Oryzias latipes: one gene and its partners. The protein of the gene in region 3 purifies or fractionates together with the protein of the main gene of each other region. This does not show direct contact. Links are inferred from orthologs where the notes say so. Each region holds a gene or a part of one and is shown on either strand. Other genes may lie near its edges.

Region 1 (4,013 bases), on a different chromosome or scaffold from region 3:
AGGTTCAGAAAAATATAATAAGGGTGGGATTATATCGGGTTGCCTCGCTCCTTTTCTGTAAGGATTCTGTGGTTTTGTTTGGTTTTTGTGACTTTTGGTCAGGTTCTGAGATGCCCTCAGTCACACCAGTTCCTCGTCCATCATGATCCATAGATGTCGTGATTTTAGTTAATTGCCCTCAGCCTATTTAAGTGCATGGTTACAAGTTCTGCCTTGTCAGGTCACCTTTTTGTTGCGCCGTGGGTTTTGTCAATTTTCAGTTTGTTTATTAAATGTTTTATTTTCTGTCACCAAGCCTGGTCTCTTGCATTTTGGGTCCTCCATCACCAGTTCCTGACACTTTCAAACAATTAAATTCGTTTGGACAATTTTAATATTTAATGGTTTCAATGTGTGATGTACTGTAGGTCTAAGAGCATTTAGGACTGTTTAGGATTCATTGTAAATATAACTGCATTATTTACAGGTGTATGTGGATGTATGTGTGTCTATTTTTCAATCATTTCATGACAAATTATCCAGTTTGATATTGGCTTATCTTTGTATTATGTAGTTATATATTTCTGTTGATTGTCGTCTTTAGGTTTATTTTTGTTTTGATTTTTGTTATACACCATTTCCATATCCAAATGACATCAACCAAAAGCTGGTGTCACAGTGGTTTTTAATGTTGTACATAATTGTGATTGTTGTTTTTTTCTTTCTACATGAGAAGAAGCAGTTTATAGCATTTTTTAGGGTGTCTCTTTGTGATTTTACTATGGACATAGTAAAAAATGTTTCAAATATTGCACCATTGAATTGAATATATTGAAATGTAAGATTGAAAATGCATGCAGTTTTATTCACTCTTAAATAAAGGTTAAACTTATTACCCAACTTTTAATCACTTCTAACTTTAAGCGCCAAAATACACATAAATATCTTTGTCGTTTAATAACAAAGAATTAAAATGATTTTTATGGTTATTAACAAATCTATTACCTGCTTTCTTTACATTGGCATTCATATTTTTGAATTGTTTCGTTCCGTTTCGAACAGCCTTACTGTTTGGAGGAAAATGTGTTGCTGGCGCCACCTGGCGTTTACATCTGCAGCATGCAAGGCGTGACAAGTGACGCCACATGTTTACAACTGCCAATGAGCACGTGGCGAGACGAACTCTGTCCTCCAATTGGCCGGTTCGGTCGGGATGTGGGCGGGAACTCCTGAGCTAAGGCTCAATGGCGACGGACATGTAAATTTAGTTTGAAAATTCCCCGGGAAATCTGAGTTTCGCGGGAGGGCTCTTGAGCGCGTAAACCGTATCCCTTCATTCATCAGGCCGTTTCCTGAAGCCATTTCTAGTCGGTGGAAACGAGAGTTGCGCTACTTTTAAATCCGATGCATCTGCCTAAATGCACCTTCTTAAGGAAAATTTACTTTTAAAAGTCGATCATTCAGACGTTTATCTACACTTTGGGCTGATTATTTTTGAAATCATTGCGACGGATTAGCGGCCGCACGGGCTTAAAAGTTGAGAGACAAGAGAGGGGTTACCCTGAATACGCAAGATGAGAAGAGGGATCTCCTCGGCTCCGGACAAAGTGATTTTAGCAGAGGTCGGGGGTTCTCCTCTGGACAGTAATATAATTTTAACAGCTCTCGCGGATCGTTTGAACCCCGGTCAATCTAACGCTACGTATATCCAAATAATAACCACACCACCGCCTTGCAATATTACACAGACATCAAATGTGTGTTTATCCGAGGCTCAGGTCAACAACATTTACACAACTCCACAACAAGCGGCGGCGAACGGAGCAGGACAACGACCCGCTCTGGGGAGACCACCGGTAATAACACTCAACATTTTTCACGAACCCAACATAAGTACGACAAATGTTAGCTCGCTAGCTAGCCGAGCTTGTTGTTAGACAGCTAACGTTAGCTGCTTAGCCAGGGCAATCCCACGACTAGCGATGTAGCTAACTAACTACCGCTAGCTTAAGTTACCCAAACAGGCTGATTTAGAGTCTTTTCGTCAACTTTCTGGGGGCAAAACGCCAGCTTTAGCTAGTTTTGCGTGTACAGAAATGCCCCCCTGCCTTCTAAGATAAGACTCGCTAACTTCACCCAGCTCAGGGTCCTCTTCACCTTTGCAGCCAGATGGAAGTACTGGTAAGAGATGAGTAACGGTAGCGCTGGCCTAGTAGCTGCTGTTGGTGTCTTTATGTGGGATTGGAGACCTTGGTTGTTGAGTTTTTCGGCCCTTTTCGTAGCTTTCTACCGACATAAGAGGAGGGGAACCTTCCTAAATTTGAGCTAATGCAGCTGCTTTGTTTCGAAACTACTCAATAGATTCCTCCAAGTGGGCAAACCAACTTATAGAAATATTAGCTTTCCAAGCTAGTAGCGCCATAAAATTAAATTTTTGTCAAAAATAACTCATTGCTTGCCTTTCCCCCCCTTTATTTTGTCGTCTGGTTTTGACGTCCTCTGTGACTTAAGTGACATTTTAGTTCCTTTCAAGTGAAGGAGAAGTGAAACCCGAGCTTGTTGCTTTGGAACTAACTGCACGTTTCATGTGTTCTTCTCTCTACATACATGCATGAACCGCAGATAAACGAGTTCAGAAAACATTTGGGTTTCTGTGTTCTCCACATTTCACGAACCCCCCCCCCCCAGCAGGCTGCACCTCAGACTGAAGCCACGAGCAGCCAGACAGACTCCTGCTGATTTTTTTAAAATGGCTGACACTTTGAAGGATAAATTATATGCCATTGCAAGTTTAGTGGAAGATGCATCTTCTCTGTCCTCTGAGGAGGAATCATCCCCTAGATTCATTTGTTTGAATCATATTAAAGACCCCAACACAGAAAACTGATGGTTTCTGGGTCCAACTCCATAGATTCTAGTTGGGTTTGTAGGTTCAGGAAACAGGAAAGCAGCAACTCTGCTCTTTATAGTCGCTCTATTATGGATGGTTACCATGAAGACAATAAAGTCTCACTTGATTTGATTTCTTTTTATTTGTAACTCATACAATACATTTTGTGCGTACTTGCAATTGTGTGTAAAATTGAATATTAAAAACTTACAAAAAGTAATTACAGTTTCTGCACACGCACCTGGAAACTACTGCAGCCTAATCTAATGAAATGGTACGGACCAATCGCCTGACACACACACACACACACACAAAACCACATTCACACACACATCAGATTTGAGACCCTGTTGACGTCTCCAGATTTGTGTGTAAATAATGCGTTTAAATGCTGCTAAAAACACGAGTTCATAGGAGTGGGGTCTTTAACAATGACTTAAGTGTGCCATTACAATGTTTTATAACATTTATTTTGGAGTTTTTGAATCGGGATATCCTGTATTTCTTTTTTTTTTCTTTATTTTATTTACGGTTCTTTTCCCTCGGAGACCATCATGACGGTGTCTTGTTTTAAAGCTGCTTGAACGCCAACTGGTCATGAAGTTTGAGGTGAAATGATGGCCGTCCCGCTCTGATTTTCAGACTTGTGCATTTTTGTGGTCTTTCACACAATCTGGATGCATAGATCATACATTTGTTTAGATTTTTTTAGAATATGGTTACACACATATCCCAAAGAACCTGCTGATGTTCAGAATGTCATATGTCCGTTCTGAGCCACAGCTGCCCACACGCTTTGGGGTAAATTTCCGTCCAGATGCTGCCTCTGCACCTCTGTTCATAGCAGTTGGTTTCAGGGGTGGGGGCGAGCCCCTCCCCTAACCTGATGTAAGTAATAGTACTAATGTTTTGGGAATCGTCTGACAATTCAGCTTCAAACTGAGCTGAGCAACCCTGGAGATGAAACTACCAGCATCTGTCAGAAAACCATATTTTCTTATAACCCTTTTCCTCCAGGCAAAGAGGCGGTTGGCTCTTGATGAATCAGACCACCAGTACCAGTTAGAACCAGCCAGAACGCCACGCAGCAGAGGGGGGGGCCCAGCGGCCAACGGGACGCGCATAAAGACACCCAGAAGTAAGG
Region 2 (4,231 bases), on a different chromosome or scaffold from region 3:
GGTCTTTAATGACCAAACTGCAAGAGAAGCATTCCTAAAAACATTAGCAAGGATTCTGCATGCAGATCAAAATGTAGAATTTAGGTTGAAGCATCCCTTAATACTAAACAGTATTGTAAATGTATGGTGTAAAATTAATCTATTGTATTTCTTTTTAAGATTTTGACTAAACTACATGAACATGACAGTTCCTGGTTTGGAATTGTGTGGATAAACTGTGATGTATTTTTGTCAGGGGTATCCTGAGTAGACAAATGGATGCATGCGGGGCATCTGAAAACTCCAAGTGAAAGACCAGCCATGACCTTTAGAGTGATGGCCTGAAGACTGTAACACATTTTGCATCATCATCAAGCCCAAAAGGAAATTCTATTTCATAACACTCTGAACTGTCTCCACACCCTGGTTAAAAGTCAATGATGCACTGACGTTTACTACACAGCATGATTGGTACATAAATGTGAGACATCTGCAGCTAAAGTCAACAAAAGCTGTTCAAAATCAACTTAAGGATGTTATTTTTTTGTACATGTCGTCTACAGAGTGTTGAAAGGTTGAGTCTATGGGATCTCAGGGCTAGGGTTCCGTTTATGAGGCAGAAATGCAAAAGAGTGGTGGTTATTTTGTTGTTAAAGGAAGTGTGCTGCATATGCAGCAGTTCCTGTAAACACAAGGCCTGCACCCAAGCAGCTGTGATGGCAAAACCCAGTTTCCAGGAGATCGCTTCAAACAACACCGCGGCTCAGATCAAGTGCAAATAAACCCTCAATGGAGAAAATCTGCGCATCTTCACTTGATAATTACAATATAATGACAGTAAAGGTGTGAAATTTATGATGACACTTCATTGAAGAGGCATCGTGTGTTTATAAATGTGTCATTTCTGCAGAAATTGTGTTGCATTGATTTTTCTTTATTTTTTATAACTCATTATAATACACATTTATAAACATCTTAGAATCTAAGATCTCCCAATTATACAAAAAAAGAGCCAACGATATGAGTTTCCGAAAACGTTTTACTCTAAAGTTCTTCTATTACTGTTGAAATAAGCATGCACACATGGAAAAATGTTAAAAATGATCATTGTTTTACAGAATAAACACAATATCTATGGAGACAAAACCTATAAATCCTGGTGTATTTTTTAAGACTTAGCTATAAACTTGGTGTTAATGCTGGATGAGGAAGAAGAATGCCTTTATGAGATGTAAAAACGCAAACTTGAACAGTAAAATCACCTCAACATATGATAAGCCAGGTGGTAGCCTATTTCTAACTGTCCAAGTAATCCTCTTGGAGGGCCTATTAGTGGATCCACGCTCCTGGGCCAAGGGGTCAGCGTGAGATTTGAAGAGCCTGCACACTCTCCAACAACTAAATGAACGATGGGAGATTTTAATAGAAGTGGCAGCATGCATGTGGATCAGAATCCACAGCAGATCAACAGCATAATCCTTTAGGAAACATAGTGAATGGAAGTTTTTTTTTTTTTTTTTCCTCAATCAAAAAGCTCTGTGGGGAAAGCAAACAGTTGCTCACTCATGACACCCTGCTTCCTGCAGTTGCATGAACAGGTTACACAGGTCCAGCACTGGTTAACTGACAGGTGCAGATGGAGCAGCTGTCTCTGGGTGTAGTCTGCAAATGCAGGAGTAAGGGAAATAATGCCTCCAACCAGCACAGCCATGCCCTCAGTATTGTCTTCTGGTCTGTAAGCCATCCTGACTCACTGCAGTATAGGGGGCCACTCATCCTACATTTTTTCGCAAGGGACCTCTAAACAAGATCAAACTGGGGGCCCCTTCCTCTTTATCTGCCACATCAAAAACAATCACACTGGCTTGCTCCAGCTATACAGCTGGACTGCGTGGAGAGATGCACACACATGGGGGAAAAAGGCCCCTCTGTGGCTTATCGCGTCAAAACATAATTGCAAAACTGCGCATGCCGATGGAAATCATGCATTATTCCTCCCACATGGGCACAAGAAATCCCTTGTTCATAAGAGAAAAATGAGCTGCAGAAATGCTCCTTACCGGCAGCCGCCCGGAGGATGATCTGATGGGTTTAGCCTCGGGGCCGTGGGGGGTTGAATACAGGCTGTTGGCTCTTTGTTCGGCCGCAGCCGTGTTACCGATCTGGGTGAAATACCCGATCGGTACCGCGTGCATGGGCGGGCTGGACAGTCCGGTGCTGAAGAAGTCGCTCTTCACTCCTCCGGACGACAAAACCTTCATTTTCTGCTGGGAGGCGAGCGCCACTGCTGGCCGAACCGAAGCCGGAGAGACGCCTTTAGGCACCCGCATCATTTTCCCGAGGAAAACCTCAATTACCGGATTGGTCAAGCGGGGAGAGAAGCGCGCCGTTAGGGCCAGCGCGACGATCACCGGCTTTAGAGAATAATATTATCCCCGAAGAAGACGTCGACAAAAGAAGAAAGAATTGCAAATACTAAATTAATATTTTCAAAATAAAATGCACGAATTAAATCCGCAATATGACGCTGTTTCCTAATAATAATCGTTGATAGATTCGTTCCTCTTCTTAGTTCGTTTTTTTATAAGTCGTATTTAACTTGTCTTACCAGATCCAAAAACGATTCCGAATATAAATTAGTTTCTTCAAACATGCGGGACTTTAAAGTTCGACTCGAAAATGCGTCTCGGGGACAAACGCTAGAACTTCTGGTGAGTCCTTCCGACTGCGGATTCCGACCCAGTGTGCGGCTGCCGTCAGTCCACCTCGGGGTGCCCCTTCTCCATTCAACGCGACAGGAGCTGCAGCTGAATAGTCTTTTTAGCGCCAAACTCCGTCCCGCGAAATTCGGATCTCCCGCGGTTGTAGAGCGCCCCTGATTGGCTGGTGGCACGCTCGGCTTGTCATATTTGCATAAAACAGTTGTTCGGGGCAGGGCCTGGTTTTCTTAAAGAGACAGTACACGAATTCTCCACACGCGCCTTAAGCTGTCTCACTTGAACTGTTTGTTACAGAAACAAAAAAAACCAATATTAAGAAACTAATTTTAAGCACTTAACTTTACCAAATACAAGCAAAAATACTACATTTAAAGTCAAACTACTCAAAACTTTTACAATTTGGAGTATGAATCCAAATTAAAATGGACTAAAATGACTATTAGTACGACAAAAGGAATGCAACTAAATGTGAAATTGTAGTTCAAACAAATATTAACTTTGAATTGTACATATTTACTAAAATAGATCCCAAAATAGTTGTAAAAAGTGTCATTTAGTTATTAAAAGAACTCCATTTCCTTCAGAATTTATATTTCTGGTGACAATAGAGCACACATTTGTAAACGTATTTCCTAAAATAAGGAAAGTGGCACACAGCAAGGGGCAGCCCTGCATTGTCTGTACATGATAATTGGATTCACCACTCTTGCTTATTGGCTCACAAAAGATATTGAAAGAAAACACCCCCTCCCCCATCTTTGGCGACCAAACCCAAGCCAGATGACTTGACCCCTATTGGCCAAGAACGAGGAGACCTAAAGCCTCCCATGGACGGTACGTCTTTAAAGAGTGGAATTTCTTCCAATAAAACCTATAAAAAGTCGCGGGTAATCAGATAAACGCCTAGTGTTGTTGACCTAAAACTGAAGTTGTGACTTGAAATCTTAGTTCTTGGTCATCATGGAGGATTGTTGATGTGTTTTCATTTGTCCAATAAAATTATATGTGCAACATTGAAAAGTTGTAGGTAAAAAACATGCCTTCTAAACTGGACTAAGCCGGCATCATGTTTTCTACTTGCGTCAGTTGGGTTTTATTACAGTAAAACTTTGGAGTTGTTTAGTCATTTGGTACAATTTTTTTAATGGTTTATTTCAAGCAATCAAATTGGAATCATACACAAAAACAATACAATCACCAGTTATACATTCATACAATGGCGAACCAAACTTATGATAATTAGGCATAATAAATATTGCTTGAAAGGGAGTGGAAGGAAGCAAATTTATATAATCCCACCCCTAATCTACCGTAACCATTTTATTACATGATTTATCAATATCCGGCTCCTAGCTTTTATCAGACAGAATTAAGAATCCTGAGGTATCAATTAAGCACATGACAAAGATTAATTACTTAAATTATTATGTAAAAAATAACGTTTAGAAATCAACATGGCAATTGCAGATCATTTATCCAAAATATATGCAATTATGTTACTTAAAAAAAAGTCATGTATATGATTAATAAAA
Region 3 (3,500 bases):
CTTTGAGCAGCAGGAGTCGCCCTGCTGCTTCATCGTCGCGGTGATCAAAAATCCCATACCGTCACCGCTCTAGTTTGGCTCCAAAATGGTGCCGTCTCCATCACGACAAAATGGTGACTGAATTGACTTAATTTTGTTGGCGCCATAAGGGTGACATCTGTCCCTGTGAATGGAATTAATCCATCTGTCAATGGATGGAATTAATAAGCTTTAACCTTTCAGTCCCAGACTTTTACCTTATGTTCTGTTAACCTAAACTTAAACATTTCTCTAATGCAAACATAACATTTCATTTCAAGCCAAGTGGCAACACTAATATCAAAAGCACAGACAGATTTTAGAAAGAAATCGTTGCCATTTCTAACAGGTTCTGGGATTGATGTTTATTTTAAACTTCACTTTCAAATGTTTAAGAGAAATAGATTTTTATGACTTGTTTCCATTGCTCATAAACAGACCAGATAACCACATACTTGTCATTGGAGATGCTGCAGTCAATGACCGTCTTCTTGCTGGTGTTGACGATGATAAAAGGAAGGTGGATGATTGAATTAGGGGGTGGGGGTCTGTTTGCTTGCTGCTCCGACTGTCTGTTCCTCTGAACAAGGTTCTTAAAAGCTATTTGCTGCAAAAACAACAAAACTTATTAAGTTAGAAGCGGCACAAAAGAGGAAGATTGCATTTTGACTTTAGACAGCTTTTATGTAAAGGGAATAAATAAAACATAACTAATAAAAATATTCTTTAAGCTGTGAAGTTCTAAAAGCTAGAAAGGCAAAAGGCTTTTGAATTTCATGGCTTTGGCGTTCTTGAGCTCCACAGACCTCTCAGCCTCTCTAGCATAAGAGCTGCAGAGGACATATATGCAGAAATCAGACAAACACAGACATACAGGTCATCGACCTCTACCTGCAGAATAAGCTCCTGAAGCTGTGACTGTTTCTGCTTAATCCTCTCCAACCGCCTTTGTCTCTCCACCTACAAAAGTAGCGACCGAGAGTTGCATCAGAGGAAAAAAGCCAGAATTGGCACACATGTTTAGACCAACCCTCACAATCGTCCTCACCTCTAAATTTTGACACTCTTGCGCTGAGTTGGTGGGCAAACCAATCCACTTGATTTCCTTTTTCTCTTTTGAGATGATGTTCATGGCCATGAGCACGTTCAGTGCATCATAAACACGCCGCCGAATATTCTTTTGGTCGTATACATGCTAGGAAAAAAAAAGGATTTAAAAGATCATTTAAATGAAAGTGTTTTTTTGTTGTTGCGGGTTTGCACCGCCTCAGCCTTTACCGAGTCATTGGGTGACATGTGGTTGTCTGCGGAGCTGAACTCAGCAACTAGTTCATCTGCCACTTCATTGTAGGTAGTTACTCCTTTCTTCTGCACTTTCTCACACACTTTCATGGAGAAATGCCTCAAGCCTTTTCCGTTTTTCTCTCCTTTCTTACCACGCTTTCTGCAAAGGAAGCATCAAAGCACGCTTCAACATTTACAGCAAACAACTTTCAAAGTAATCACATTACTTTAAGATACATTTGGAATGCATTATTTTATCAGGAATGACTGGCTAAGCTAAAGGCATTTGAGGACTTACCCTGATGACCAAGGAGAGGCATCTGCTGTTTGAGTCTGAGTGAGGAACTGGGAGCTGGGTGTGTGTGGACTGTTCACCAAGATCGTGTTTGATACTGATGGTCTCTGGGGCGTTCCAATCACCTATGAAAACAAGAAGATGACGGAACATTAAAGACTCAACGTGACCTTGTGAGGACTTTAAATTAAAGCCCCACTCTAATGAATATGGTGTTGTTGATTTTTTCTAGCATGTTCTTGTGGCATTTTTCTGATGGAGGACATACAAAAAAGAAAATTGATCTCATAATTGCATTTCTGAGTATTTTTCTAATCAAGTCATTGTAAATCAGGTGTTAGAAAAAGAGCTAATTTGTGTCATAGACAATACAACAGGTGGGCCACAAGCTTTCTGCTCTGCTCCATTCTGATGCATCCACTTGTAGACCAACGGATCCATGACCGTCTTTGTTTTCCTCGTCTGAGCTGGAATCTGGATCTAAACTGTACGACTGGACAGCTCCAGTTTTGCTCACCATTTTTGTTGCACTGACTATTTCAAAATGAGGTTGTGAGGCGCAGTAAGCTAGCAGCAGGGCATTTAAACAGATGGGTGATGGGAAGTGGGGGTGGAGTTGAATTTCTAATGAACAAATGCCGTTATGCAGAAACTGTCCTAGAAAACGACACAGGTATTGTGATGTGTCAAAAAAAACGGCATAATCATAATGAAAAGGCCACTGGCGAAGTTTTTACAATAGATCAAGTAACGATCAGAGTTTGACTTTAACATGAGCTCATCTCTGAATTGATGCAAAATGGTGAAATCTTAATCTTCTTTTTTTTATTAAATACTAAAAATTTGCTTTAATAATAAGAGCTAGAGAACCCTGAAAGGGCGCCTGATGTTAAGCTTTGTCCTTATTGGAACAGGCTGCATAGAGCTAAATACTCTAGATGTTATATTCATAGCAGGACTGTTATGCAACAGCTTACATGTGCTGGAAGGAACAGTCACTAACTCATCTGGGATGGAACAGATAATCAAACTTAGTTTACAGTTCAAATAGTTAGAAATGTAATGAATTAAGCATTTTATGTGTGCTACAGTAATGTTGCAAAGGAGAGTTTGTAACATTTTGGCTGAAATTCAACTGTAGTTTCCTAACAACTCACATTAACGTTTAGATGGTTTGTCTTGGTCTGACACTTCACTTTTTTTCTTCAATCTGCTGCTTTTTCATTTTAAAAATCGCTAACTCATCTTGCTTTTTTACTTAACCATTGTGCTATCTCCTAGGCACTTTAACGTTGGGAGTTGGGTCATCTAGACCCACTACACAGTGCTCTGAACCTTTTTTCTTCAATGATTTGTGATCTTCACTGGTGTCCATGGATTACATGAAATCTTTCCATCTTTATCCACCTTTTTTATGGTAGGAATAACACATCAATGTAAGGGTGGGGTCATCTAAGATAGCACAAGGGTTAACCAAAAGGGCAAAGGTTTCAGAAAAGTCCAAGACACCTTTGAGTCTGATTTTACCAGCTGAACAAGTAAAATATTTTAGTACCATCACGAGTCTCACAGGAAATTTTAACAAATGTGATCTGAAATTATTTTGGTGTGAAAATAATCTTAAATACGGAAATAAATTGTGTTAAGAAAATGTCAAACATCTATTTTTGGAAGTTTAGGAATATTTAAATTGAGATTGAGCAGCTGGAAATGTTTCGTTTGCATCCAGAATGAACTTTAGACCCACAAACTCAAGACTTTCTAATGTCCTCTAAAACTAAACCAAAGTGTAAAGGCTAGCTTAGGATGTCATCTATTGGACAATAATTGTTTTTATTGTAATAAACACTTAAAAATGAATTTCACAGCTCATCCAGTCCGAACTGTGTTTAAACTCGGACTG

Evidence for each region.
Region 1: the proteins of tfdp1 (region 3) and e2f3 purify together in Homo sapiens (affinity purification with mass spectrometry; 3 studies listed by BioGRID and IntAct, with this or other methods). This does not show direct contact. The link is inferred for Oryzias latipes from reciprocal best matches to the Homo sapiens genes TFDP1 and E2F3.
Region 2: the proteins of tfdp1 (region 3) and e2f2 purify together in Homo sapiens (affinity purification with mass spectrometry; 3 studies listed by BioGRID and IntAct, with this or other methods). This does not show direct contact. The link is inferred for Oryzias latipes from reciprocal best matches to the Homo sapiens genes TFDP1 and E2F2.

Annotation. Positions count from the first base shown.
Region 1 is NC_019874.2:11,042,082-11,046,094, forward strand, and holds the start of e2f3 (transcription factor E2F3), read left to right. Parts: upstream 1-1,213; 5' UTR 1,214-1,553; coding exon 1,554-1,835; intron 1,836-1,873; exon of another isoform or gene 1,874-2,148; coding exon of another isoform or gene 2,149-2,160; intron 2,161-3,886; coding exon 3,887-4,007; intron 4,008-4,013.
Region 2 is NC_019880.2:9,280,218-9,284,448, reverse strand, and holds the start of e2f2 (transcription factor E2F2), read right to left. Parts: upstream 2,801-4,231; 5' UTR 2,313-2,800; coding exon 2,040-2,312; intron 1-2,039. UniProt on the Homo sapiens protein: Transcription activator that binds DNA cooperatively with DP proteins through the E2 recognition site, 5'-TTTC[CG]CGC-3' found in the promoter region of a number of genes whose products are involved in cell cycle regulation or in DNA replication.
Region 3 is NC_019879.2:10,679,511-10,683,010, forward strand, and holds part of tfdp1 (transcription factor Dp-1), read right to left. Parts: intron 1,723-3,500; coding exon 1,601-1,722; intron 1,463-1,600; coding exon 1,297-1,462; intron 1,214-1,296; coding exon 1,067-1,213; intron 979-1,066; coding exon 910-978; intron 626-909; coding exon 474-625; intron 1-473. UniProt on the Homo sapiens protein: Can stimulate E2F-dependent transcription.